Linked DNA regions of Ovis aries. The protein of the gene in region 3 purifies or fractionates together with the protein of the main gene of each other region. This does not show direct contact. Links are inferred from orthologs where the notes say so. Each region holds a gene or a part of one and is shown on either strand. Other genes may lie near its edges.

What was found. The genes of interacting proteins can lie anywhere in the genome.
Region 1: the proteins of OCRL (region 3) and SNX9 purify together in Homo sapiens (co-immunoprecipitation; 3 studies listed by BioGRID and IntAct, with this or other methods). This does not show direct contact. The link is inferred for Ovis aries from reciprocal best matches to the Homo sapiens genes OCRL and SNX9.
Region 2: the proteins of OCRL (region 3) and PLEKHJ1 purify together in Homo sapiens (co-immunoprecipitation; 3 studies listed by BioGRID and IntAct, counting the BioPlex papers as one, with this or other methods). This does not show direct contact. The link is inferred for Ovis aries from reciprocal best matches to the Homo sapiens genes OCRL and PLEKHJ1.

What each region holds. Positions count from the first base shown.
Region 1 is NC_056061.1:82,165,637-82,173,058, forward strand, and holds the start of SNX9 (sorting nexin-9), read left to right. Parts: upstream 1-3,512; 5' UTR 3,513-3,560; coding exon 3,561-3,827; intron 3,828-7,422. UniProt on the Homo sapiens protein: Involved in endocytosis and intracellular vesicle trafficking, both during interphase and at the end of mitosis. Required for efficient progress through mitosis and cytokinesis. Required for normal formation of the cleavage furrow at the end of mitosis.
Region 2 is NC_056058.1:19,178,669-19,186,090, reverse strand, and holds PLEKHJ1 (pleckstrin homology domain-containing family J member 1), read left to right. Parts: upstream 1-3,083; 5' UTR 3,084-3,184; coding exon 3,185-3,278; intron 3,279-3,370; coding exon 3,371-3,438; intron 3,439-3,605; coding exon 3,606-3,672; intron 3,673-4,512; coding exon 4,513-4,603; intron 4,604-4,685; coding exon 4,686-4,749; intron 4,750-4,839; coding exon 4,840-4,905; 3' UTR 4,906-5,406; downstream 5,407-7,422.
Region 3 is NC_056080.1:113,485,926-113,493,347, forward strand, and holds the start of OCRL (inositol polyphosphate 5-phosphatase OCRL), read left to right. Parts: upstream 1-2,787; 5' UTR 2,788-2,956; coding exon 2,957-2,995; intron 2,996-3,042; exon of another isoform or gene 3,043-3,269; coding exon 3,270-3,340; intron 3,341-7,422. UniProt on the Homo sapiens protein: Catalyzes the hydrolysis of the 5-position phosphate of phosphatidylinositol 4,5-bisphosphate (PtdIns(4,5)P2) and phosphatidylinositol-3,4,5-bisphosphate (PtdIns(3,4,5)P3), with the greatest catalytic activity towards PtdIns(4,5)P2.

The sequences.
Region 1 (7,422 bases), on a different chromosome or scaffold from region 3:
GACAAATAAAAGCCAACCAATAACTAGAAAGTGCATAGGAGATGTGCACTTCAATTTTAAGTCACACTAGGGACTTCCTTGGAGGTCCAGCAGTTAAGACTTCCACTGCAGGGGGCGCAGGTTCCATCCTGGCCGGAAACTAAGATCCTGCATGCCTCTAGTCATGGCTAACAAAAAAAGATGTCATGCTAAAGAGCATCTAAAGCATATTATTGTAAACACAATTATTTATTTATTGCATTTTTATTAATAAACTGGGTACTGCATCTCCAATAAATACTGCCAAGTTGAGCATTTTCATTTTCAATTATACCAGTCAAAATCAACATTACCTCATAAAACATTGTCATAGAGGAATAACAGTTCTGAAGGGTATTTTTGCAAAAAACATTATTGATTAATAAAACATTCAAAAGATTTGTATTGTGTAATATGTCACATTAACTTAGATGATGATAGAGATGGTGGTTTTTAAACATGGTCCACAGAATTCTTTCAAGCAAGCAAACTCAGGCAAATGCCATTGAACACTGAATATATTGCTTAATTTGTATTTCCAAAACCTGTCATCCATTCATTTATTCATTCATTTCACAAAGTATTAGCAGGGACTTATTCTGAGCTTGGCATGATGCTAGAGTCTGGTGCAAGACAGGGGCACAGGGCTTCCTCTCCTGAACTAACAGTCTGGTGGGAAAGGCAGGCAAATGAATGACAAGCTGTTGTTTCCAAAGGCAAGGAAACCAGTACATGAAATTCTGTATCAACAGAACTTGACTTAGACTGGGGACAGGGAAGATATCCCCAACAAACTCTGTCTGTTGCAAGGGTTCTGGGCAGCTCTGAAGGATGAGTGGGAGGTTAGTGGGTGTTGGTGTGGAGGAGGAGGAGGGGTGATTGGTGGGTATTTCAAAGAAACAACATCAACAAGGTAACCTGAGAGTCCCAGCACGAAATGAAAAAGTGAAGCCCCTTGTTCAAAACTATTAAAAATTTAAAGATGGCGAGAACAGAACATTAAAGCAAGGATGAGGCCCTGTGAGACGACAGAGGTCACACGCCCCATAGCCAGTCCTGGCCTTCTCCATGGAACAGAATGTAAAGATCAGGATTCAGGAGGATGTGGGAGGCCAGGATGGTTGAAGCAGAGCCTGGGGAGGGCAGTGTGAGATGGAGCTGAACATCAGGTTCGCATGAGGATTATGTCAGTGACTACTCTTCCAGGCTCTATAAATTAATGCCCATCTCAATAACATAAGTAGTGACTTCACCTTTATTTAAACATTTATGCTAATTTGCATTGGTCATTCTGAGTTTGGTGTCAACTGGTTTTCTAAAAATGAGCCAGGCTTACAGAACTTGTCCAAGTAGGGAAAGCCTGGACTCTGATCTGCTTGCTTTCTTGGTGCCCAGGATGACTGGGTATCCAGAACTTGCCAAATAAGCATACAGAAAGGCACAGTCACAGGAGGGATCCTCACTTTGCATCTTCTTATCAAAATATGCATTGCTAAACTGCTACAGGGTGCTGCAGCCAGTTTTCAAATAGAAAATAAGGAAAATTCATTACTTACAGTATTATCCAAGTTCAAATCCTGACTTCTCTACATATTACTGTGTGCTTAGCCAAGGGATTTATTTAGTTGTTTGTTAAAATGTAAACTTGCTTTGGGACTTCCCTGGTTGGCTGAGTGGTTAAGACTCCACGCTCCCAATGCAGGGCACTCAGGTTCAATCCCTGGTCAGGGAACTAGATCCCAAATGCTGCAACTAAGACTTTACATGGTGCAACTAAAGATCCCACATCTCACAATACAAGTAGCCCCGGCACAGACAAATAAATAAAAATGAATATTTAAAATGTAAATTTTTTTTAAAGATAAAGCAACACACACACATATTCAAAAATTCTGACAGTAGCCTCTAGTGAATCTTCTCAGCAATTTCTTAGGTATATACTACCTATTTTCATTTTGTTCTTTTACACAAATGGATTGTACTGTACAGAATGTTCCTTTTATCATTACCTCTTTTTTTTTTTTTGGCAAAGCTGTGCATGGCATGTGGGGTCTTAGTTGCTTGTGTTAGTTTCACAGTCGTGCCTGAGTCTTTGAGACCCCATGGACTGTAGCCCACCAGGCGCCTCTGTCCATGAAACTCTCCAGGCAAGAATACTGGGGTGGTTTGTCATTCCCTCCTTCGTGGGATCTTCCCACCCAGGGATGGAACCCATGTCTCTCACCTCTCCTGCACTGGTAGGCAGGTTCTTTCTCACTTGGGCCACCTGGGCTTCCCTGGTGGTTCAGGTGGTAAAGAATTTGCCAGCAATGCGGGAGACGTTGGTTCGATCCCTGGGTTGGGACGATTCCCTGGAGGAGGAAATGGCACCCTGCTCCAGTAAGGACAGAGGAGCCTGGTGGGATACAGTCCACGGGGTCCCAAAGAGTCGGACACGATTGAGCGACTAACAAACAGCATGATTGATAATAGCCGTAGCTCCCGAACTCAACAAACACAAAAATTCACCGAAAATGCTTTAGTACCATATCCATTTAAAACCTCTTTGTAGAAGGTAACCAGTTAAATTTCTGGAGATCAAATAGAATATTTTCGAGAGGACAAAATTTGACATTAATTGTACCGCTTTCCTCGCTTAAAGATGAATTTTGATAGTTGCCTCTTTTACGAGGTACATATCCCCGTGATAAAATAGAATGTACTGTAATAATATTTCCATCAAGAGATGTCTTTCAGTCACATCTTTCGTACTTGAGCGAAAATCTTGCTATTCAACTCATTCATGTATTATTGATAACAAAGGACACACATCCAACTCTGAAGAAAAATGGAAATTTTTAAGACTTCTAAAATTTCCATTTCGGGAAACCTGTTGGGTCTCCCCCTAACCTCCGGGGCCCGGAGGCGTTTTTTAAATTTATCAGGAGTCCAGAAGGAGGTTAACGGGACGCCTCAGAACGAAAGCCCCAAGCGTCGGGGCCCTGAAGCTCCGGGCCGGGGACCACAGCCCGCGGGCAACTCCAGGCGGGCGGCGGGTCTTCCGCGAAGGGCCAGCGGACCTGGAAGCCATTGCTGCGCTCCGTGCCGGCTGCGTTCTCCACACTCATTTCACTCAGCCCCGAGCACGACCGGCCCCACAGCCATGCCGACGCGGGACAAAGACCCCGTCCGCGACTCGAGCCCGTCGTGCTGGGGGGCCCCGTTGTATCTCCACAGCGAAACACTTCAGTCGCGGTGACCGGCTGAAGGGCCGCTCGGGACTCGGCTCCCCGGCAGGCGCTCCCTCATAAGCGTGTCCCTCACTCCCGTCCACCGTCCCCACGGCGGGGCAGCCAGGCGGGACGCGGTCGGTGGGGGGACCATGATCCGGCCCGACCCCGGCCGCCGCTCGGGGGACGCGGCCCCGAGCCCTGCGACAAAGGGCGCCGGCGGCGCGGCCCGAGGCGGAGGCTCCGGGCGGGGGCGGAAAGTGGGAGAGGAGGCCGGGCCGGCCCAGGGCACCGGGCGCGCTTCCGCCGGCCGCGCCGCGCACGCCGCGGTAGATGGGAGGCTCGGCCGGCGGGGGCGGGGGCCGCGCAGCCGGGGAGTTTCAGGAACTGGAGGAGCGGGGCGGCGGCTGGAGTCGCCCAGAGCCGAGACTCGGGGCCGGGGCGGAGCCGCCGCCGCGCCGGGGCCCAGCCGTAGCTGCCGCCGCCGCCGCCGCCCTCGCTTTCGTCCGGCCGCCTGGGGCCGATAGCCGCGGCGCGGGAGAGGAGCCGACCGTCCCGGGCCGAGGGCGGGGGGGAGATCCGCCCGCCATGGCCACCAAGGTGAGGGGAGCGCGGCCCGGGCCCCGGGCCGGCCGCTCGGCCCTGCGGCGGCGCGGGGGAGGGTCGCGGCCGGGGGCGGGGGCGCGGGCGGCGGCGCCGCCGGGGAGGCCGAGGGGTCGCGCCGGGGCCCACCCAGCTCGGGCCGGGCTCGGGGCACGCAGGGCGGACGAGGGGCCGGGGCCGGGGCGCTCGGGGTCTCGGCTGGGGGGCGCGGGGCGGGACCCCGGCCGCTCGCGGCGCCGTCTGCAAAGTTTGCGCCTGAGCGTGTGGGCCGCGGCCGGGCACGGAGGGAGGGAAAGTTCCCGCAGCTGCCCGGCGCCCGCCCTGAGGAGCTGCCCGCCCGCCGGGAGCCCCCGACTCGGTCCCGAGTGGAGTCCACTCTCCGCCGCTCCGCGCGTCCGGCCGCCGCCGCCGCGGGAGCCGCGTTCTCTCCTCCCTCCGCAGAGGGTGGGACCCCCCGGCGCCGCGGGCAGCTTTCGGGGGTCCGACCCGCGCCCGGCCGGACTGGGAATTTAAAATGCAGGCCGGAGAGTCAAGGCTCCTGAGGAGGGAAAAAAACCCCAGTGAAACGTCCCGCGCGCTTCCACTTCCCTCAATTTTCTTGTGTTGTGTTTTTTTTTTTTTCCTCTTTTGTTTTGCTACCTTTTCGATTTGAATGTTATTTCCAGCATGAATAAAATACCAAGAGGGAAATGACTCTGCTTTCAATTACGTTGTTTGCTTTAAAAAAAAAAAAAAAAAAGGTCCAGGCCCAAATTACGTGGTGGAACTTTGAGTCGCGCTTAGTTAATTGGCCAGGAGCGGTGGTTTGCTTATTTTACAGTATTGTCGGCGAAATTAGCGTTCACCCTTCGCTACCTTCCTCCCCCAGCTCCTTGGGGCTGGGGCGTTTAGTTCTCGACGGCCACTGACTAGGGAAAGCCACGCTCCCCTCCAGGAGCCAGGGGTGGGGTTTGAGTTGACTTTCTTTTTGATTTTGGAAGTAGTTTTAGTAATGCCCCTTTTATTAACATCAGAACCCTCTACCGTGTTTATTTTTTAAACCTCACTTCTTGGGTTGGTGAAAGCCTTAGATTTGTTGCTGTTGGGTTTTTGGTTTTGGTAGAGAGAGAAAACTTAGAAAACTGGTAAGTTTAAAACCCCTTTCGAAGATCATATTGATATTTCAGCCTGTGAAATTTTGTGTTCTGTTTCTGTCTAGGTGCAGTGTGTTTTTTGCCTTTTTTTTTTTTTTTTTTTTTTGATGGAGATTCTTATCCGGGGAACCTGTTGCCTGCTGTTACTGAAATAATTGTGAAGTGAAGTTGCTCAGTCGTGTCCGACTCTTTGCGACCCCATGGACTATAGCCTACCAGGTTCCACCGTCCATGGGATTTTCCAGGCAAGAATACTGGAGTGGGTTGCCATTTCCTTCTCCAGGAGATCTTCCCAACCCAGGGATTGAACCTGGGTCTAAGGCATTGTAGGCAGACACTTTACCGTCTGAGCCACCAGGGAAGTGGTACTGAAATAATTACTTTCTTGTTATTATTGGCTAAGCTCTATCTTCCCTGGTGGGCTCAGCTGGTAAAGAATCCGCCTGCAGTGCGGAGGAACTGGGTTCGATCCCTGGGTCGGGAAGATCCCTGGAGAAGGGAAAGATTACCCACTCCAATATTCTGGCCTGGAAAATCCCATGGACGGTGGAACCTGGTAGGCTGCAGTCCATGGAGTTGCAAAGAGCTGGACACGACTGAGAGACTTTAAATTCACTTGAGACTCTGTCTTGGTTTTCTTAGATGTGATAGAACTTTGCTACCTTTTTAACATGTATCATTTCATGTTGATCTTTTTAGAAACAAAACTTTAGATCAAATATTTCTAAGGAAATTTGACTTTGAGGTTTGTTGCCAAACATTTAAATTACCAATTACACGTCGTATTTTGCACTCATCTTACAACCTTGAAAGCTGTTTATGGTAGATAGCTATTCCTTTGATGGTCAGCGTTTGATACTTTGCACCCTGATCTACTGGCCCATGTTAGACTGTCCATTCAGTGGGACTCAGCTTAGCAACTAGTGCTGGTATATATAACGAAAATTTTATCTGATACTTAAACCTGAACTTGTATGCTCAGTTGCGTCCTGCTCTTTGCAACCCCAGGACTGTAGCCCATCAGACTCCTCTGACCATGGAATTTTCCAGGCAAGAATACTGGAGTGGGTGTTTTTCCATAAAATTAGAAAGAATAGTTTTTGTACTAAACTTGAATTGTGTTTATCCACACTAAGCACAAGCCTTAAAGCATGGATAAACACTTCCTACTTTATTGTCTTCTCCACAGAAGGCAGGTAACAGTCATTCTTTCACCTTTCTAATCACTATTCCACATGGTACTCCTTTCCATGTTTACATTGTGACAAGCCACTTCTGGTTTCAAAAACAAAGGAGAAGCACTTACATAGGAGTCTTCCTCAGTTTTCCCACTTCCTGGTGATTCTTACATCAAACCGAAGTTTCATTTTTTTAATTGTTCCCAGAGAGTAAATTTGTCCTTGTTTTGTTTCATACTCCCTTCCATCCATACCATTACCAGCATCTGAGTAGTTTGAGGGTTTTCCTTTCCTTTCTTTAATTTTAATTGGTTAGGTTAACTTTTTAGTAAGAGCGAATAAGAATATATTTTTTAGTAAGTAATACTGTCTGACTTTTAAAAAATTGGATCAAATGGCATTCAGGCTCCTGCCACAAGCATTAAGTGATGAGAAATAAACAGAATTTGTGGATATTTTAGGTAGTGTCAGAAAATGCCTTCAGTTGTCTTCAGATATAATATTCTGATGTAATGCTCTTACATGTTTTCGTGAAGATAACAGTTATCTTTGAACTATCATGCTTTTTAGAAAACTACACTGGTATATTCACAATAAAAGAAATTATCTTTTAGGAGAAAAACTTGAATTGGCTAGTTCTTTGCTGCCAAAGAAAATTAATCAGTAACTGCACACTTGAAAGAAATGATCTGTTCTTGTTTCTAATCATTACTGAGAATGCTGAATTCACCTTGAGTCCCCGTCTTGTCGCATTTAATAAATACAACAAAAGGCTAATGTGAGTGTGTAGCCTGGACTTCTAGGAACTCCAGGTTATATTTTTACATAGTCATATGGTGGACTTAGGAGTAAATTACTTAAGGGAAAGAAATTCTTTTTCTCTCTTTTTCTTCTGCCAGGATATAGCAAGAGAGACCTGAAATAGTTAATGGAAATTAGTCCGTAGCTGTGTAATTTAGCTGTAATTTCCATGTCACAATTAACCTTTGGAACTAATCTGAATCCTTTTGTGCTTATGTAGACACCTTTTATGTTGTTACATGTGTAGTTGCTAAGTTGTGTCCAACTCTTTGCAACCCTGTAGACTGTAGCCCCAGAGAAGGCAATGGCAACCCACTCCAGTACTCTTGCCTGGAAAATCCCATGGATGGAGGAGCCTGGTAGGCTGCAGTCCATGGGGTCTCGAAGTCGGACACGACTGAGTGACTTCACTTTCACTTTTCTCTTTCATGCATTGGAGAAGGAAATGGCAACCCACTCCAGTACTCTTGCCTGGAGAAT
Region 2 (7,422 bases), on a different chromosome or scaffold from region 3:
TCCATGCAGAAGAGTGAAGTCGCTCAGTCGTGTCCGATTCTTTGTGACCCCATGGACTGTAGCTTATCAGGCTCCTCCGTCCATTGGATTTTCCAGGCAAGAATGCTGGAGTGGATTGCCATTTCCTCCTCCAGGGGATCTTCCCGAACCCGGGTCTCCCGCATTGCGGGCAGACGCTTTACCGTCTGAGCCACCAGGAAGCTCCACGCAGAACTGATATCTAAACAGATGTGAAGAAATGCATGTACTGGGGAAAAAGGAAACTCAGTGAAAAGCTCAACAGAAGATGTTAACATCCTCTTGGATGATGGGCGATGTTCCCACAGCTAGAACAGGATGCCACAGATTAGCATGGCCAATTAACACTAGATAAACCCTTTAAGCAAAGATGCAGTGAGCCTAACACACTGAATGTGAGCGCCTGAAGATAAGAGTCAAAGCTATCATAAAGAACAGAAAAATAAACAATAGCAAAATAACAAGATAACAGGAGGCAAAGCAAGAACCTAGAAATTTTGGACTGAGAACACAACATGGCCACACTACTATATTTAATAAAGATATAACCTATAGGAACCTACTGTATAAAGAACACAGAAAACTCTGCTCAGTGCTCTCTAACGACCTACACAGGGCAACAAAACGAAAAACAATGGGTCTGTATATATGTATAACTGATTCACTTCGCTGTACACCTGAAGCACAACACTGTTAGTCAACTACAGTCCAAATACAAAACTAAAACTAGAAAAGAAAAACAAAAAACTTGGAGAGTATTATCAAAGAAACAACCTAAAAAAATAAAAAACTCTCCAATAAATAGACCATGAAGTTTCCTAGTAGATGGAAAAAAACTCAGCAACAAGAGGTTAGAAACCAGGATGAGATGAGAGCCTTCAGAACAGCAGGAACACATAAGGCAGGGCAAGGCTTTTCCCAATTCCCATCAGGGGCTTTCAATCTAGAACTTTACACCCACACTTCTGACTGTCGGGATGGATAAAGCCATTTTCAGCAAACTGAGGACTCAAACTGAACAAATGAGTCGACTTCTTCAAAACCTACCTGAAGAGCTCTGATGGGAAAAAGAGGAGACAGTGGGACTGAAAACAGAAACCAGCCCATGGGAGCCTGGACAGAAGGTTCTAGGATAGTTACTCAGCTGCTGAGTGGAGCTCCAGTCCTCAGTGGAACAGGAGGATGCCAGCGCTGAGAGGGAAGTTTGCAGGCAGGAAAAGAAAAAAGACATCCATTGTTTCAACCCATGGCAAACTACAACCCATACGCTTGCAAAGAGCGCACTCATCCGAAAAGCCCCTGATGCTTGGAAAGACTAACCACGAAAGAAGGGGGCAGCAGAGGATGGGATGGTTGGATGGCATCACTTACTCAATGGACATAAGTTAAGTGTAGTTGCTCAGTCGTGTTCGACTCTTTGCAACTGTAGCCCACCAGGCTCCTCTGTCCATGGGATTCTCCAGGCAAGAATACTGGAGTGGGTTGCCATTTCCTTCTCCAGGGGATCTTCCCGACCCAGGGATCGAACCTGGGTCTTCCGTATCACAGGCAGATACTTTACCCTCTGAGCCACCAGGGAAGCCCCAATGGGCATAAGCTTGAGCAAACTCTGGGAGATGGTGAAAGACAGGGAAGCCTGATGTGCTGCAGCCCATGGGGTCAGTCAGATGCGACTGAAAAACAAGGCGTGTGAAATAATGATGCTTTGAGAGAAAAATTAATAACCAGCAAAATCAGACAAATAGGAAGAATGAAGAAATGAAAGCGCTCTGGGGGGAGGGTTAAGAGGAGAACAGTACCCTCAAAAAGCAGCACGGCTCAATACAGTACCCGCCTGAGCAGCGAACGCTATTTTCAGCCCTAGAAAATAAGACTGACAATCTGACTGAAGCTCAGGTTAACCACATCCATGGTATGAAGGATGAGGCTGCAGCGGGTGAGGGGGAGGCAGAAATGAGACCTCAGCAGTCACGGTAGGAAGTTGAGAGACCACTTCTACACCCGACTCAGGCTATTTACAAGCTCAGGTCGCTCGTACTCAGCTGCCAAAGGGCAGAAGGGAGAAGGGGGCCGGGCTCCCAGAGTGACAAGGGGAGAAGTCATTTAAACTCTGGGCTTCGCTCGCTAAACGCGCCTAGCTAACGGGTCTTGGGCCTCGAGCCAAGAGATCCGCCTCTGGACCTTCCTCACTCCTCGGCGGGCCTGGAACCAGGCGCGCCGTCACCCCCACCTATTACAGGAACCAGGTAAGCCCCGGACCACAAAGCCAGCAAACCAGAGGACTCAGGGAAGGCGCCCCGGGTCCGCTGCGACCCGACCCGACCCAACGGGCCTTTGCAACCGGAGCTCCCTGCGGGAGGGTGGGGGTGCTGGGCCGGCCCAGCGCCCGACGGGTAGAGAGCCGATGCCGCCCTCAACCCAGCACTTCAGCCACTCCCCTCCAAGGAGTCCCCCGGGGCCGCCGCCCTTGTCTCGCACTACTACTAATCCTCACCCACGATTTCGTCAAGTCCACGGGCTCCTCACACACTGCCTTGGTCTATTCAGGCGCCACAGCCACCGCGACGACCTCGTCCTGCGCACGCGCGCCGAGAGCTCAGAAAGCACTTCCGGGGACAGGACGGGCCGGGCCTCCTGCGTACGCATGCCCGGCCCGCCCAATGGCGCGGGCGACACGCTGATAGGCTGAAGGAAAGAGGGGAGCGGAGTGCAAACCGGAAGTCGAAGTGCGCGTGCACCCCGGATAATTTCGTTCTTTCGGTCAGTACCGCTCGCGCAGGGCCAGTTTTCGCGGGGAGGGTAGTTGCGACTCGCCTCCCACCCCTGGCGCCTGTTCGTTTGAATAACGGGCACCACCGGTCGTGGGGATGCTTTATTGTTCCCATCCCGGGTTCACGTTATTACATGGTCATATATGACACCGTCCATTTTGCCTATAGTCCCGTTCGCCCCAGGAAGTGCCCGCTCCGTCTTGACGGCCTCCGAGACGCTTCCGCCACACGCCGGTGATTGACAGACCGAGCGGCCCGGGAGCGCGCAGGCGTAGTAGCTCCGGCTGCGCTTCCGGGACGGCGCCGTAGGACCCTTGGCGCCGGCCTCGGCGAGCGTTGGGACGGCGGCCGGGAGGGCGCGGCCGGCGTTCCGCGTTCTGGGTACCGGCGGCGCCATGCGCTATAACGACAAAGAGCTGCAGGCGTTATCCCGGCAGCCTGCCGAGATGGCAGCCGAGTTGGGCATGCGGGGACCCAAGAAAGGCAGCGGTGAGCGGTCCGGGACGCCGGAGCGGGCGGGCGGCTGAGGGGGCGGGAGTGGGCAGGTACTGAACCCGCGCGATCCCGCCTTGTGCTCGCAGTGGTGAAGCGGCGGCTGGTGAAGCTGGTGGTCAACTTCCTTTTCTACTTCCGGACGGACGAGGCGGAGGTAGGGTGGTAGAGAGGATCGGAGTGGGGGTTAGGTTCGGAGTTCGGAGTCGGGGACGGGGCGGGGTCGAGGTCGGGTGTCAGAGCAGGGCGGGCTCGGGAATCGGGGGCGGGGCAAGGGGCGGGCGGGTTCCCGGGGTCCTCCCCCATGCGCCTATTTGCCCGCAGCCCATTGGAGCCCTGCTGCTGGAGCACTGCAGAGTCATCCACGAAGAACCCAGCAGCTTCTCCATCAGTGAGTGCGGCCTGGGACGAGGCTGCTTGTCCCCGCCCCGGCGTGGCCCCACCTAAGTCCCTAGAGGCTGAGTGCAGTGTCCGGGCAGCCTCACGCGCTGGCCCTCCCGTGGGGCCCAGTAGCCTAGACGGAAGCGATCCGAACGGCCGCCGTTGTCTTGTTGGGGAGCATTTCTCTCCCGGCGTGCCTCGCTGCAACTGTTCCATTTCTCCTGTGAGCAGGGCTTGTGCTGGGGATCCGGGAGGGTTTTCTTCTCGGTGCTTTTGAGAGGGTGGGGTCTGCAGGGGGAAAGATAGAGCTTCTACTAGTTTCCGCTGGAGGCCGCAAGAAAGTGCCACAGACTGGGAGGCTTAAATAGAAAAATGTATTCCTCCCTGTTCTAGGGGGCGAGAAGTCTGACATCAGAGTGTCAGCGCGTCTGCTTCCTTCTGAAGGAGAATCTGCCCAGCTTCTGGAGGGGTCGTTGGCAAAGCTTGTCTTGTAGAAACATCTCCCCATCTTTGCCTTCATTTTCTGGGATCTTCTCTCTTGTGTGGTTGGGTCTAGGTTCGGCTTTTCTTAACAGCAGTTCTATTGGATTAGAAGTTCACCCTCCTGCGGTGTGAGCTCAGCTTAACCACTTAACTACCTATGCCTGTAGTGACTCTGTGTCCAGATAGAGTCCCTGTCTTGGGAGATACACGTTTTAAGACGTGAACGTATGTTTTCTGGGGGACACGATTCAACCCACAGCCAGCTGTTGGGAAGCAGTGGGCCCAGACCGGGGCTGTAAAAGGAGGTTGAGGCCTGGGTGGGGGAGGTGGGAGGGGCAGGGACATATGGGGGCTGCTCCCTTCCCAGGCTTCCTGGAGGACCCAGAGAGGAAGTACCACTTCGAGTGCTGCAGTGAGGAGCAGTGTCAGGAGTGGATGGCTGCGCTGCGTCGAGCCAGGTGGGGTGCTGACAGAACCTAGGGCCAGGCGGAGCCTAGGGCAGTGCGGGGCCCTGGGGGCTCACTCAGCTTTCCTCTCCAGTTACGAGTTCATGCGGAGGAGCCTCATTTTCTACAGGAATGAGATCCAGAAGATGACTGGCAAGGTGTGTGGGGGGGTGGGGGCAGGGGGCGGGGGATGGGGGCCTCCTGGGCTCAGGCTTTAAGCCCACCACCCTTGTTGTCCACCCACGCAGGACCCCCTGGAACAGTTTGGCATATCAGAGGAGGCCAGGTTCCAGCTGAGCGGCCTGAAGGCATGAGGCCGGGTGGGGCTCCCCAGCTGTCCTGTTGTCGGACAAGGCCTCCCTGCCCTCCCGGCCTCAGATTTCCTGACCAACCCTGGATTTGCTGTGGGAAGTGTCTTGGTTTAAAGACTTCAAACGCCCCAGGGTGGGCAGCGGCTGCCTTGTTGCGAGGAACCACCCAGCAAGTGTCCTCTAGACACACTGGGAACCACTGGACTGGTTTGGTACGTTGGTGCTACCTGCTGCTGCCAGGGGACCAGTGCCCCCTCCCATGAGCTGTGCCCTGCCCTTTGGGTGCGTTGACTCAGGGCCTGGCAGGTGCAATTCTCCTGCGCTGGGCAGGCTGAATGTATAAAGTTAGGTGAAGCTGTGAAGGGCGTGGGACTGTGCTGGGGCCACTGTGAATTCTCCTGCTGAAGGGGCAGGCCCTGGCCGGACGCCTCTGGGCAGTGCTGGAAGGCTTGCCTTTGGGGTGGCCAGTATATTCTGTTCAAATAAAGGTACCTCTTTTCCATACGGGCCAGTGGTGCTGTGACTGCAGAGAGGGACGTGTGTCCTCTGCTGTGCGCCTGTCCTGCATCTGCACAGCCGTTCCTGAGGGAGACGAGGCTCTTCCCAGGTTCAAGGTTGAAGTGCCTGGGAGCAACAGAGTGGGGGGGCCTGGAACCCAGAGCCAGGAAGGTCAAGGGGGGCTGGGACCCAGCCTACAGAGCTTCTGGCACTCACAGGCCCCGTCTGAGTGCCAGCAGGACCTCAGGAAGGGTTTGTTGGTGGCGTTAAGGTCGCTAAGTAGTCGGTTTAGGAAGGCTAAAAGGAGACTACCCTGGGTGGTCCTGACCTGGTTATAGTTGTCAGTCCTTGAGCAGGGGCTGGGCCTCTGAGACCGGGGTTGGGGAAGTCATTGTGACTTGTCTGTCGTGGCCACCGTGCCTGTCTTCAGGAGCAGGTGGGGCCTCTACTGGGAGCGACCGTCCTCCCTGCTTGGGGACGGTAAGCACTGCCCTGGGCCCTATGCACTCCAGGACCTTGCCGTGTCATCACCAGGAAGAAACACTGCTGCCAGACTAGGTTCAAGTGAAAACAGGTATTTTATTACAGCGTCTAGAGATGGATATGCAGTGCAGTGGGGTTCCCTTGGGAAGGGAAGGGAGTTAGCACCCCAACTGAAACACAGGCTACCGAAACGACAAAGCCAAGCCCGTCTGCATTACAAACCAAGGTGCGACAGAGCGAGCGTGGATGGATGTGTGAGAACAAACAGTCCTACAGTGGATGGGCGGGATAAATAACGGAGGAATCTTAAATAGTTCACGATTTGACTTGTAGCTAAATGGAGGGCTGTGTCCCCTGACCAGAGGGTGTCTTCATTGTTAGGGTTTCCTGAGCAAAGCAACCGTAGCCATCGGACTTCCTGGAGTGGAGTGAAGCACCTGGGTCAACAGCAGCAGTGGGGCTCCTCCCCACGCCCAATACCCTGGTGCCCCCTCCTTCCTGTGGCAGCGGCACCCAGGCCAAGGCAAGGGGCTGGGGCCGGATGGTGGGTGTGGAGAGGCCAAGCTGGCCCCACTGTGGGGCAGGCCCTGTGCACGTGTGTCTCTCCCTGTAGCTTGGAGGGCAGACAGGGCACGGTGGCCCACAAGCCATGCAGTGTTTGTGTACAGTGTCATTTGTTCAGATGGGGCTCCTCAGGCAGCCCCGCAGCTTTCTGTTGGGGGTGGGGAGCCTCTTGAAGAGGGGTGAGGGCAGGGGGCAGGAAAGCACCATCATGCACCCACCAGGAGCACCGACTTGGGGTGGAGGGGGCAGGGCAGGGCCGGTGGTCACAGGAGGAGGGGAGGGCTCCATCTCCAGCTTCAACTGCCGCTCTGAGCAGTGGAGAGGTGGCCAGAGGTGGGACACTGTCCTGCTCTGATCCTGTGGCCTGTATCTCACCGGGCCTCCACCTGCCAGAAAGGCTGGCTCCAGACCCACCCCAGGAATGAGGTGGCGGGCTGGGGCTCGGCTACCATACTGATCCTTGGGGCAGCAGAGGGCCCCACTCCACAGAGGTGGGTGGTGGTGGCCAGGCTGGGGAAGGCTCAGGTTAGATCCCTACATGGAGGCCCACCTCTTGCGCTCCTTGGTGGGTGCCACCTGGTGGGGGGTGGTGAGCACCTGAGGACAGGGCTCTGACTGCCCACGCCCAGCCTTTGGCTGGGTGCCCACCTTGGGGTCTGGGCCCCCTGCCAGCACCTTTGGCCAACATTGGCCCTTCCAGGGAGGCACACAGACAACACTGCTGCACCAAGGACCCAGCATAGTCACAGATGCTGTGTGGCGGACGGAGAGCCCCACCCACCACCTCGGAGCCTTAGGGACCAGCCCTCCTGCCCTGCCACCCCACCACATCCCTCCCGCATGGAGGGGTGTGGCTGTGGGGGGCGGGGGGAGAGGGTCACTCCAGCTATGGGATGGTGGGTGGGTGGGCCCTGGGCCAGCACCTATGTGCACGTGAATAAACAGCAAGGTTTCCCCTCACTTTTCTTTCTTCCT
Region 3 (7,422 bases):
AGCCCAAGAGTGCAGGCAAAGTGAACCGCCAGTACAAAGGCCCTGAGGCAAGACTGTGCCTGGCAAATCCTAGGAATAACATGGAACAGTGTAATTAAGCAGAATGAGTTGGAGTGAGTGGTAGGAGAGTGAGTTAGGTATGACACCTAGAGTGTAGAACCTCATAGGTTATCCTTTGTCAGTTATAGTTACTGAAAATATGTTTTGCCAGCCTGTGGCTTGTCTTTTAACTTGTTGATGTTATCTTTTTTTTGCCTGTTCTGTGATTTATTCTATTCACCCAACAATATATACTGGCCAGCCTTCTGAATCAGCTAGTATTTAGAGACCTACCACTTTAATTTTTGCAGCTGCATAGCATTTCACACAGTATGAATGGACCATAGGTTCATTTGTATTTCTTTATATTCTTAAAAAAGAAATGCTCAGATGAACATTCTTGTACATTCTTCTTTGGAAACAGCTACATGTTAACCATATAGTAAATGTCTAGCAGTGCAATTTGTTTGTAACTAAGTATATGTGTCCTTTATATTCTGATATTGCCACGTTTCATACTTTCATGTTATCTTGAAGTGCATACATTTTGATATCTAATGTAGCTAAATGTGTCAATCAATTCCCCTACTTCCTCCTTTTTAGGGTCATAAGTAATCATTCCCATTCCCTAGGTCATAACAATATTCTCCTATTTTCTTCTGAAAGTTGTAAAGATTTGCTTTTCACAGTTAGATCTTTAACCCACAGGGAATTGACTTTTTTCCCCTCTATGGTGTGAGATAGGGATCTAATTTTATAATTCTCCATGTGGATTATCAATATTCCCTGCACCATTTAGTAGATAATCCATTTTCCCTACATTAATTTGAAAAGTCAAATATGCCACGTATCAACTTTCCATATGTGTGTAGACCTGTTTTGGGGCTCAGTATTTGATTCCATTGGTCTTTCTACCTCCATACCACACTGTGTTAATTAATACAGGTTTAAAGTCAGTCTTGATATATAGTTCATCATAGAGTCTTGTGAAGAAGGCAATGAGCACACCACTCCAGTACTCTTGCCTGGAAATTTCATGGATGGAGGAGCCTGGTAGGCTGCAGTCCATGGGGTCGCTAAGAGTCAGACACGACTGAGCAACATCACTTTCACTTTTCACTTTCATGCATTGAAGGAAATGGCAACCTACTCCAGTGTTCTTACCTCGAGAATCCCAGGGACAGGGGAGCCTGGTGGGCTTCCGTCTATGGGGTCACACAGTCAGACACGACTGAAGCAACTTTGCAGCAGAAGCAGCAGCAGCATAGAGTCTTGAACAAAAGAATCAGTTCAGTTCAGTTCAGTTGCTCAGTCGTGTCCGACTCTTTGTGACCCCATGAATCACAGCACGCCAGGCCTCCCTGTCCATCACCAACTCCCAGAGTTTACTCAAACTCATGTCCATAGAGTCAGTGATGCCATCCAGCCATCTCATCCTCTGTCGTCCCCTTCTCCTCCTGCCACTAATCCCTCCCAGCATCAGGGTCTTTTCCAATGAGTCAACTCTTCGCATGAGGTGGCCAAAGTATTGGAGTTTGAGCTTTAGCATCAGTCCTTCCAATGAACACCCAGGACTGATCTCCTTTAGAATGGACTGGTTGGATCTCCTTGCAGTCCAAGGGACTCTCAAGAGTCTTCTCCAACACCACAGTTCAGAAGCATCAATTCTTTGGTGCTCACCTTTCTTCACAGTCCAACTCTCACATCCATACAAGACCACTGAACAAAAGAATAACACAACTGAAACATTACTCTAGGAAGAATATTCTTATGACTGTCAACAGAGTAAAATGGTCAAATGAGATATCACAAGGGCTTACACTCCAGTGATGGCAGTGTGAATGGCAAGAAAACAAAGAATCTAAAAGTAATTCCAAAGAACATATTAATAAGATTTGTTGGCTGATTGGATACGGAGCAATCAGGAGAGCAAGCATATGGGGCTTCCCAGGTGCATGCATGCTAAGTCGCTTCAGTCGTGTCTGACTCTCTGCAACCCTATGGACTCTAGCTTGCCAGGCTTCTCTGTCCATCGGGATTCTCCAGGCAAGAATGCTGGAGTGGGTTGCCATGCGCTTCTCCAGGGGATTTTCTCGACCCAGGGATCAAACCTGCGTCTCTTCCATCTTCTGCTTTGGCAGGTGGGTTCGTTACCACTAGCGCCGCCTGGCAATGCAGGAGACACAAGCAAGCACATGGCTTTGAAATGTCAAACCTGCATCGCTGTGTGAAATAACCGTGGGTTTTTGTCATCCAATGTTTTGCCAACAATGAGTTATATTAGGCAAGGGATGTGGGCCAGGGATAATACATTTGGTGTTTGCCTGCTTACAAGTGAGCTTAAAGGGGGACAGAGAAAGCAAAGGTATGATCTCTGGGGATTTTTCCGATTTAGGGGGTGGAAGGATGGAGTGAGGTGGGAGGACATCTGAGCGGTAGGTCCAGCACGGTCCATTCTGTTAACCATAATAAGGATATTTTGAATGGAGGATGTGGGTCCTAGTGGCCCCAACACCTTTGAGTTATTTGATGGGTATGACTGTACTTTGTTTCTATGGCAACCTTCAAAGTCCCCCAAACAAGTCTGGCGTCACAGACAGCCTTGAAAACTTATCCCTTGCTGGACGTGGGGGAGACGCCCCCAGTCCGTCGGGTTGGCCTGCAGTTCCGCAGCTTGGCCGCAGGGGGCGGAATCTGCGGCGGCCTGGAAAACTGGCGGGGGTGGGAGGCGCCGCTCTCTCTCGGGTCAGGCTCCCGGCTCCCGGCTCTGGGCTCCAGGCTGCGGGCTGCCCGCGCCCAGCACGGAGCTGTTTCTCTAAGGACGCGCAGCCGAGGCTGAGGGGTGTGAGGACGCGGGAGGCAGTATCGTCGGATCAGCCCGCAGTCCGCAGCCCCGCCGAGCCTGGAAGCCGCCGGGATGGAGCCGCCGCTCCCGATTGGAGCCCAGCCCCTTACTGTATCCGCCTGAGAGAAGGGGGAGGGGAGGCCGCGCAGGGCGGGGGTGGGGGTCCGCGGGACTGCGGATCGCGGCGGAGGGGCTGCTAGGGGGCAATCGGGCCCCAAAGCCGAGCCGAGCGGGAGAGGGGGGCCAGCGCGGGAGGCGCTGCCTCGGACGCTGGGGAGGAAGGGTGGGCAGAGGGGCAGGAGCCTCTCGCCACCCTGCACCTCGGGTCCCCTCCTGGGCCGCGCTTGTAGAGAAGACCCTTGACTAGCGCCCGCATACTATCGAGGGTATGGAGATGAAGGGTCCTCTCCGGGAGCCCTGCGCGCTGACCCTAGTCCAGAGGAACGGGCAGTATGAGTAAGTAACCACCTGATACCCACAAAGGAGGGGAGCCTGCCATTACCTCCCAACCCCAAACCGCGACAAGCCACGCACCGTCCTCCCACTGAGGCCACGTGGGCAACAGGTTCGGCCCGGGTGTGAAGTGCCAGTGCTCTAACCACCTGGCTTTCTCCCCAAGTTTGCTCTGGCCTGTGGCTCAGGAAAGGGCTCAATGGGCAGGCAAGCAGGAAGCCTGGGTTCTTAGTTCCTGCCCCTGCAACTGACATGGGTTGTGTAATCCTGGGCTGGTCAATAAAGCTTTCTGGGTCTTAGTGTCCTCATCAGTTTAATAAAAACATGAACTGCCTTACCTTATAGCCTTTGGAGTTAACTGAGAGAATAATAAATATGAAAGTGGTTTACAAAGAAGTAAAAGTGTTGTAAAAACGCTTCATTGTTAACCTTCTCTTAATCTCATTCAACTGGTTCCTCCAGTCTCCCACCCCTTTATTCCATTTGCTTGAAGGCATATTCATTAATTCAGTCATGATTTTGTGTAGGCCAGTAACTGTTTCACTTACTGACTTGACTGCTAGAAAAAGTAATGACATGTATAGAAATGTAAACGACTTTTGGCCTTTCATCAGGGTGTGTTACCTCCCACTCTGCCTTGGACATAAGAGCTCAGTAAAGACTGTTGACTGGTTGATCAAAAGATTTTGATAAGCCATCACTATAGCTGCTGATCTCATTTCCTTGCCACTAATGTTTCATCTAAAGTATCTCTGATGACTATCCTATATAGGTAGGTCCCTATCCCTTTATGCCCCAGCCACCGCCCCTAGTTGTTGGCTGGTTTCTTGACATCAGTGAAGAATTGTCAATCACTTAAATCCTGCCATCCCCCAACAATGAATTCTGCTTAAAAACAACTTTTTTCAGCCCCTGCCTTTAGATTGTCCAGATTCAATCTTTGTCTATGCTGTCTAGTTTACAGAGAAGAAATTTCCATTAGCCTAGCCTGCCCTATTCTGAAACTCTTGGTGCCATTCAAACTGGATGTCAGCTGGTTCTATGGAAGTAGCTCTTCCCTAGATTCTGGTTGGTCAGTTCTGTTGATGTGATAAGTTCATTTTATTTTTCCCAGATTTCATCAAACTGGAAGACCAGTTTAATGAAAGTAAATTCAACAGAAAAGTGAATTGAAAAGTGGAACACCAGTACCACTTCCAAAGGCAAGAATAGAATGGGAAGATGTGAACCTTGGGCAAACCATTAAATTTTTTGTGCCTCGGTTTCCTCTTCTTTAAATTATGAGGATTAAATAAAAATAGCTACAGTGTTGAGATGACCACATCCCAGGATCTGGTCCCTTGGTTCTGTAGGTTTGGAACTGTTCGGCTGATAAGGGAACAAGCGGCTGGCCTTGAGAGAAACACCTCTTTCTATCTGGTCTCATATACTGGAAGCACTTTTAAACTTGCAGTGGTAGCTCTCCTGATTATTTTTATCTTCCCCCCTAGAGAAATCAAATTCTATGTTACAGTTCTGTATAAGTTATGAGTATAACACAAGTCACACTCAATGGCTTGATGTGTGTCAGGTACTCTTCTAAGCACTTGCATGAATTAGTTCATTTAACTCTCATGTGAGGATTGCTGTGAAATTGTAATATTATCATCGTCATCCCCTTTTCCTTGGTGTAGAAATGGAGGTTTAGAGAGGTTAAGTCATTTGTTCACAGTCAGGAAGTAACATAGCTGAGATTTAAAGCCATATAACATCTCAGAATTACATCATATCTGAGAAGTTTCTTTTGAAATCATTTATTGGAGACATTACATTATTGGAGACACCTCATACTGTCAAATCATCTGTATAATCCGTGTCTTTTGGGTGCCTTCTTTAGTTTTGTAGTTCCTGCTGTTAACCATAGGAGAAATTTACTTGAGAGACTAAAATTACAATTGAAAATGACTTTATTGCACACAAGGAATCAAACACTGACATTCTTTTTTTTCAAGGTAAATAGATTATGATGCAACCTGTTGTTTCATCTTTAACCTTCCTTAAACAAATCAGAGTATTTCCTAGGGAAATATTTGTGGACTTGACTTGAATTCCCAGCTTATGTTTTTTGATTTTGGGGGGGGTGGGTCTCATTTCTTTTTTAAATTGATATTTATAACATTATGTTAGTTTCAGGTGTACAATATAATGACTTGATATTTGTATACACTTTAAAATGATCACTACCATAAGTCTTTTTCTGTCTTTGTGCCACGTGGTATGTGGGATCTTGTTTCCGGGGCTAGGGATTGAACCTGTACCCCCTGTATTGGAGGCACAGAGTCTTAACCACTGAATTGCCAGAGAAGTTCCTTCAACATTTTTTTTCTTTTGATGAGAACTTTTAAGACATATTCTCTTAACAACTTTCAAATATACAGTACATTATTATAAACTATAGTCATCATGCTATACATTACAGCCTCAGGACTTAACTATTTTCTAGCTGGACATTTGTACCTGTTGACCCCCTTCACCCATTTCACCCACCCACCCCCATGCTCTGCCTCTAACAGCTGCCAATCTGTTCTCTGGGTCTTTGAGTTCAGTATTTGGGGGTTTTGTTTTTCTGTTTCACACATGAGATCATATGGTATTTGTCTTTCTCTGTCTGCCTTCTTTCATTTAGCATAATGCTCTCAAGGTCCATCCGTGTTGTCTGTTTTGTGTTGGTTTTTAACAAGACAATCCAGTTGAAACTTTACTGTTAATGTTCAACATCATTTCTGTATTACTTTACTTGGGGATTACATTGGTTTGTGTTCATTTTCCTTAAAGTAAGCTCTTTCTCGTTGACCATTATTTTGTCAGTCTTATCTAGTTTCTGGTCTACATCTGGGTTTATAGGACTCTACTCAACTCATGAACTTTGCAGTTTGAGAAGGACCTGCCCCCATATTCTTCTTTCTAATCACCTTAAACTATAAATCCCTGAAAGTTAGGCAAGTAGAATCAGAGCAGAAAAACGGCATTAGTACTTTTATTTCTCTTACTTCTATCTAAGCATTTCTTTCCCCCAAGTTACCCCTTCAAAGTTAACCAATTTGAAAAAAAAAATCAAAAAGCTAAAATGACAAGCCCCCAAAAGACAACAAAATAGAAATTAGGCCCTTCTAAAGAATGACTTCTAAAGTCAAAAGCTGACCAAGTATGTTTAGAAATTCACCTCTCTTTGTAGCTTAATTAAATGTTTATTCAACCAAAGTTATTGATCATCTATTAGGTAAGAGACAAAACTGAATATAATAGGGTCTTTGCTTTCATGGAGTTCAAATCTGAGAGATTCGCATGTAGTTTTTTGTATGTATGTATATAGTTATATATGTACCTGTAATGGAGTCTGTTAAGTGCTATATTTAAGGGACAGGCAAAGGCATGAGGCCACTAGTTCTGCCTGAGGTTACTTCGGAGGAGTTTCACAGGGGAGTTGATAGTTTGAGCTAGGTCTCAGAAGAAAAGAATAGTGCTCCTGGCTCAAAGAACCACCTGAAGAGTGATTTGGGGGAAGTTAGGAGATGTTCAGGATGACCTTTTACCAGTCAGTTACACCTAGATTCTGGACCACTAAGATTAAGTAGTAAGTGAAAATTAATATTTCAGGAATACATAGGAATTTGGAAATCTTGTGTTTCATACTGAGGGGCCAAGTTCAGTCATACTTACCAGAAATATTAGCATTAAATTGTAAACCATGATAAAAACACAGGGATATAAAAGCAATCTGGATGTGATATCTGCTACCTCATTGGTCACTGGATTATTTTGACTGATGCAGCTGGCTGGGCACCTCCTCTTACTTCTCCACGAACCTGTATACTTATTTGAAAAGATAGAATCATTCTTTGATAAAAGCCATGGGAATAAAATCAGAAAGCTAATTGATGAAATTTATAATCCATTTATTCAACAAATGTGAGGGACTGCTACATGCCAGGTGTTGTACTAGGTGCTAGAAATACTGTGGTGAAAAGACAGCCATAGTCCCTTCTCTCATGGTCTTCACACCTAACTGTTAGTTCTTCACTCTGGTATGCGTAATCTGAAGGTGT